2 linked regions of the Kluyveromyces lactis genome follow. The protein of the gene in region 1 interacts with the protein of each later gene in a pairwise test. Links are inferred from orthologs where the notes say so. Each region holds a gene or a part of one and is shown in the gene's direction. Other genes may lie near its edges.

Region 1 (3,636 bases):
GTTTTGTTTCGCAACATCCAAAAGCTGTTCCTGTAATATGCTAAAACATAATTTCGTGTCAAAAAAGTGCCTAGGAAAAAGAATTCTTTTTGGAAGAGTTTTACGCTGGACTAAAGAGAAGAAAGCATTTACGTTTAACGTAACTGTAAACAAGACACAAAATGTAAACCCAATCACGCCGCCTGTTGTAAACTATTTCACATCATAAGCACGCAATCCAAACACCGTCCACCTGCAAAAAAAAACCATCTTTCGATGTTTCTCCCTCTGATCTCTTCGAGCATGTAGCTGTTGTTTACCTTTTGAATACCGCATGCTGGTTGCCAAAAAAACCCAGCATAAAGCGATCAACACGTACAAAGTGATTCTGACTTTTGTCAGATGCTGCAGTGCCAGACGGTTCCTGGGTCAGGACAGAAATTCTTCTGCCATTGTGCCGCTGTAACCACGTCCACATGCGTCGGCCAGATGTATCAGTAAACAGAACTCTTAATTTTTCTCCGTATTATGTTCGAATGCGTGTTCGTACTGAAATGCTTCTTGTCTTTCCTGTACCTTGCAGTGACCTAAATGGGCACACTGTATTCCCATTTACAAATGGTCTGTTAGTACTTTTGAATTCAATATGGCAACTTGAACAAACCCCATTGTGTAAAGGTCCTTTTTTTTTTATCTCTCTCGCAGTTCTGTTGGTCCCTTCTTCTTTCACTGAATCACTCTGTGAATTATAGGGGAATAATGCCGTATTAAGAATCGCTTCAACTTTCAATATTGAAAAATTGAAAAGTTGCGAAATGTTAAACAGACCGAAAACTTAAGAACCGTAAATTATAGTCAGCCAAACCCCCCCACTCCCTAAAGTGCATCGCGCGTTTGTGTTATTTTCATTAGAACCCATCGGTAGCTGCCTCCGTCAAGAATTGATTTCAAGTTGAACGAGTTTACACTTCTTTTGAGAAATTAATAATCATAAAGCAGTTGTTTCCGAGTATACTATGGGAGGCTTGAATTCTGCTGAGAAAGAAAAGGTTAAACATGCTTTGCCCAAGGCTTCTAACAAGATTATAGATGTTACTATCGCTAGGTTATACATTGCATACCCTAATCCAGAGAAATGGGTTTATACTGGCTTATCTGGTGCCATTGCATTGGTGGACGATATCGTTGGTAATACTTTCTTTTTGAAGTTGATCGACGTGCATGGGCATCGAGGTGTTCTCTGGGATCAAGAATTGTACGTGAACTTTCAATATAACCAGGATCGTACTTTCTTTCATACCTTTGAATTAGAACAATGTAACGCCGGGTTGTTATTCACCGATATTGGCGATGCTTCACATTTTTTGAAACGAGTACAGAAACGGGAGAAATACGCGTCCAAGAAGACCTTGGCCAACAAGAATGCAATTGCATTAGAGGACCAAATTAAGAAAGAGGAAGAGAGTAAAGTGATCCATGGTCCAAGAGGCGAATCCTTGATCAGTGACCAAAGGGTCAGATATAGATATGAACCGGAAAAGCACGAGCACCGCCAGGAACACCATTACGAGCAGCCCAGCCAGAATTATGCTTCAACTGAAAACTCAGCTTCAGATGCAAGTGCCGCTCCTCCTTCTTTTGCCTCGAAACCACCGCCACCGCCTGTCGAGAAACAACCTCCTCCTCCTGTGAGCATCCCATCTTATAAGTACGACTCTATTCCATCATTCCCAAGCTCTCCTGCACCTCCATCGGTTTCCTCTACTCATTCTCCTACCCCGGATTCATCCTATGCATCAACACCAGCACCAAGTAATCCTCCTCCACCAATAAACCACCCGGTACATGCAGTTCCTCCTCCTTTACCAGCAGAACAATATCGTCCACTGGCTCAGTCACCTCATCCGCAATTCCAGCAGCAGCATAATTCTCCTTCACCTGCAGCACCTCCTTCGATTCCGCCTATGCAGCAAAGCGTTGCAATCCCTCCTCCACCTTCCCATCCAGCTCAACAACAAAACGTCACTAATAACAACACTCCTCAGTTTGGACAATATTCTGTTGCTGGTCTGCAACCACCTCCGAGACCAACTTCAACGAGACCTGGTATTGCTCCTCCAGTTTCGAGGCGTGGTCCGGTACCACCTCCCCCTCCAAGACGCTCAGCTGCTCCGCCGTCCATTCCTTCAAGAGGTCCTCTACCTAATGCTCCAACTGGCGGTCAGCATAGTCGTACTGGAAGAGGGCCTCCACCACCACCACCACCTAGACGTGGTGGCCAGGCTCCTTCTCCACCTGCAAGCAGAGGTACAACTCATAACTCAGCCATCGGCCCTCCCCAGCCCCAGCTTCCACCACAAATGCAATCTCCTCCTCTTCAACAGCATAATACCTACAATGCAGCGCCTCCTGTTCAGCAATATCAACCACCACAGCAAACCGCATACATTCCGCCTCCCCCTGTCTTACCACCCCACTCAGGTGTAAGCACTCAGTATCACCCATCGACCGAGCCTATGTTAGCCCAACCCCAGCATCATATAGCGGTACCTAATGGCACTGCACCTCCCCCAGCACCTCCTGCCCCTCCGGCACCTTTTGCTCCACAGATAACGAACTCAGCGCCCGCACCACCACCACCTCCTCCTCCTCCTCCAGCCCCTGCATTTAATCAACCTGAAGCAGGATCTGGTTTTGTTGAAAATACTGGTGATGCTGGAAGGGATGCCTTATTAGCATCGATTCGTGGAGCTGGTCTGAATTCCCTCCGTAAGGTGGATAAATCTCAACTTGAAAAGCCAAGTCCTTTGTTACAAGAAGTTCGTAGTGATGCGCCGGTATCTCAACCCACAGGCGGGTCAACTGGCGGACCTGTTGGTGCTCCTGCGTCCTTGGCTGATGCCCTAGCTGCGGCTTTAAACCAAAGAAAGAATAAAGTTGCTCGTGACGATGATATAGACAACGGTGATGATTGGTGAAAGTAATTCACCCTACTTGAACTGCATCTGACTAGACTGTGGAATTATGATTTGGTATTTGTATGTACGGTGTACCTATATATTACTTTCAGATGCCTTTAAAACAGAAGACAGATAAAACTAAACTAATTATTCAAAGAACTCCACTTATTTGACCATACCTGTATCCATTTCAACTTGGACTCATCTGAACCGTTTAGCTGTGTAATAATTTTTATAACTTTCTTAACATCATTATTGATAGCAAGTACTGATGTTTCCACTTCTGGATCTACTTCATATTCAGCGTTCACTAAGGTGGATGAAATTAAAGTATCAGAGTTAGAAACTATTGAATTGTGGAGTTGATTTAGCTCAGATAGATATGCTGCTGTAGTTACAGTATCCTTTTTTATGGTTATCGATTTGGATAATGAACTCAACAAGAGCTTAAGGAGACGAGATTTTTGCGATAGTGATTTGACAAATTCAATCATGGATTCTGAAGCTTCCTCTTCCTCTTCTTCATCTAAATCCGTACCTTCCTCATCACTGAACTTGTCATTCATTCCGAATGGGTCTGAATTTATTACTGGATCCTCCAACCACTCTTCTAACTCTTCGATTGAATCTTGTAGAAGCTTCACTGAAGAAGACAAATACTCAGTCAAGAGTCCTAAGTTACCTTGATTTGATAATA
Region 2 (3,308 bases), about 550 kb from region 1:
ACAGTTTCAACGCATCTTTGCCGTTAGTGTAACCATAATTCTTTAAAAGGTTTAATAGATTAAAGTCGTCGGCTAAAGAAATTCCTGATTTCTTGGTAGCCACCAGTTGAAAAGTCGTGTTGAAGGATGCGGAATCGGTTGAATCCGTACCTTTAAGTATGATGTCGAAATATTTCGTATCTTCGTTATCATCAAGGAAGTCGGAAGAGACCTTACCTGAAAAAGTCAAAGAACTACTATCGAATGAAAGCCAATTTGGCAATTCAGAAGATTCATATGATATTTGAACGGATCCTTCGTTAGTTGATTTAAAGGTGTCATTAGAGATTTTAAACTGGAAATCCTCGTCAACTCTTGCAATTGGTGGAAGCTGTTTGTTAATAGGATAAGCTTCGTATACAGAAGCTGATGCGACGGCAAAGAGAAGTGACAGCGCCGAAGACAACAGCAACTCAGTCTTCATAACCCTAAACCCTGTATAATGAACTAATTTCCGTTCGTGTAATTTCTCTTATTCCAAATTAAAAACTAAAGTCCAGTTGAACAACTATGAGTAAACTTAGTTCCAATTTTCCTTGTATGCGTTTCTTGAGCTCTTAATTCTCTCTCTGCTATTGCTTTCAGATGAAGGCTGTCAAGGAGTGAATGAATGGATCAATGAACAACGTAGCGATCGGACAGTTAGTGCTGCTCCTTCTATCTCAAAAGTTAATGGATAGTATAACGTAAAAGCGTTACTGGATTGCAGAACCGTTAAGATGAGGAAGAAACGAATGGGCCCTGAGAATACATCTTGTTTTATTTAAGGCGGGAGCCCTCATCTCGTGAAATATATGAATATTAATTGAAAGACACCAAAAATATCACAGTTGCAAGACAGGAAAAACCATTATTATATTTTGGTATTACTTCTCAGTAAACTAACGGGCCAGTTGGAAACAATCGAAATCCTCTACAACCCTGTCTTAGCTTTTTTCATCTCACATTCTACTTCTGGTCCCCCAAATTCTCACCTACCTCAAAGTTCTGAAGATTCACTTATAATTCTTCTTTTGGCATCCTTAAAACATTTCGCGATTTCTCTAAATGTGTTACCAAAATAGGATATAACGCGAACACCGGGTAAACCAGTAGCATCCACCAAAAAGATATAAAAAAAACAGATACAAATTCTTGTCACGTGAGGGGTTGTTTGACTATTATTCAAGGTCACGTGTGTTACGTATAACGTGACTTCCCCTTTTTGTAATGTAGGTCAATGGAATTTTGATTTTCTTTCAGCACTGAAATGGGTGATATTACTGTTAAGATCAATACGATGAACTATCCAAAAGGTTTAAATTGCAATTTATTGAAGTAGATAAGGTTCCAAACGATTCAAACCGAAGAACACGCTAGAGCGATAGCAGGTATAACATATTCTTGTTTTATTTGTTCCTGTCTCTTTGACTGATTGTGAGTAACGCAGGCATACTTCAAAGAAAACATTACGTTTGAGCTCAGTGTTAATTTGATATCTGACCTCTATTTTAATCGCGCTTGACTCCACAGATAATTCAAATACCAATTTAAGATGCCAAAGCTTGAACAATTTGAGATCAAAAAGTATTGGCAAATTTTCTCCGGATTGAAACCGGTGGAAAATAAGTTGACCCATGATCAAGTACTGCCTATCCTTTTCAATTCTAAATTGGACACCTCGATACTTAACAAAATATGGTTTTTGGCCGATATCGATGATGATGATCAACTAGATTTTGAAGAGTTTGTGATTTGTATGAGAATGATATTTGACATGGTTAATAAAAACATAGATTCTGTACCAGATGAATTGCCAGATTGGTTGATTCCCGGTTCAAAAGCCGAATTAGTCAAACAAAGAAAAACTGAACGTAGTAGCGGAACAGCAGAAACAAGTTCTGTGGTCAATGTTCCGACATCTTCGCCAGCTGTAGACGATTATCAAAAAGAAGTTGATTGGTATATATCAAGAGATGATAAGTCACAATACGAATCAATTTATGAATCAGCCATAACCTCTAGAGACAATAGTGTATCTTATGTTTCACTATCCTCCGCCGTTAGATCGAAGTATATCAATCTATCATCTCAAGATTTAGAAAAAACGTGGCGTTTGGTTAATCCTAAGCTTGACACTTCCATAGATAAGGATCCAGCACTATACTTTATTCATATTCTGAGACAAGTGAACGACTATGCTTGCCCAATACCATCACATTTACCTTCAGCATTGAAAGAAACTTTTACAAAGACTAGAGTTTCCACGGATTTGTCTTCCAAGCAGAGCGAAGTAAGAAGGCCAACACTATCCACATCTAACTCTTCATCTTACCAAATACCAAAACGTGGTGGTACTGATTTTTCTGTTACTCAGGGAACTGATTGGGAAGTAGTCAGACTTCAAAGGGAATTGGCAAATATTGACTCTGAATTATCGTCAGCACAGCAACAATCCACCTCTCATAATGACTCAAATGATAGAATGAAATTAGTAAAACAACAGTTAGAACAGTTCTTGGAATACCAAAAAAACCTTGTCAATAATTCCAATACTTCTTCAGAAAGCGTTGATGTTGGAGGTTTGAGGGATGATATAGAGAGTATTGAGCAGCAAGTACAAATGTTGGAGGAGTACCTGAAAACAAAGAAGTCGGAACTGCATAATTTGAAGATAGAGGTGCAATCTCTTTACTGAGGTTATTGACCTACCCTATATACTTTCTGGAGTAAATTTTGAACTACGTTGTTTCATGTATAATGATAATTCACTTCTTAGCTTAACTTTTTGGATATTAGAACGAAATTTAAACGTTTGTGGTGATTGCTTAGTACTAATTTAATTAATTTACATATGACCGTGCTGTCTATCGGCTGTTCTTGGTTTAGCCCTGATAATATTATCCACTCTCAAGAGGACTTCGGCTGCTTCGCTGGCTGAGGTTACTACAGCTCTTTTCAATTTATAACTTTCCACGATCCCTAGTTCTCTCATGTCAGCAATGGTGCCGTTATCCAAATCCAAACCTGATGTACTCATGCCGTTGTAAATCGAAGATCTTAACTTTGTGATCAATTCACTACTATCGAAACCAGCGTTGTCCGCAAGAATAGTAGGCAATTGTCTTAGGGCTTTTGCAAAAGATTCTACAGCAAGTGCTTTCTTACCTTCAACATTTTGCCCTACTGTGTCAACAGCTTTTGACATAATCATTTCGGCACAACCACCACCCAAAACAGTTCTGGTTTCTTTTGTTGTTTGTGAAAGGACAGATAAAGCATCATGTAGA

Evidence for each region.
Region 2: the proteins of LAS17 (region 1) and END3 interact in binary tests that used the Saccharomyces cerevisiae proteins (3 or more experiments, as listed by UniProt). The link is inferred for Kluyveromyces lactis from reciprocal best matches to the Saccharomyces cerevisiae genes LAS17 and END3.

What each region holds. Positions count from the first base shown.
Region 1 is NC_006039.1:433,725-437,360, forward strand, and holds LAS17 (actin-binding protein LAS17), read left to right. Parts: upstream 1-995; coding exon 996-2,957; downstream 2,958-3,636. Other genes in the region: KLLA0_C04752g (uncharacterized protein), read left to right, coding at 1-208; KLLA0_C04796g (uncharacterized protein), read right to left, coding at 3,083-3,636.
Region 2 is NC_006039.1:982,544-985,851, forward strand, and holds END3 (End3p), read left to right. Parts: upstream 1-1,573; coding exon 1,574-2,716; downstream 2,717-3,308. Other genes in the region: AXL2 (Axl2p), read right to left, coding at 1-463; chaperonin-containing T-complex subunit CCT2, read right to left, coding at 2,867-3,308. UniProt on the Saccharomyces cerevisiae protein: Component of the PAN1 actin cytoskeleton-regulatory complex required for the internalization of endosomes during actin-coupled endocytosis. The complex links the site of endocytosis to the cell membrane-associated actin cytoskeleton.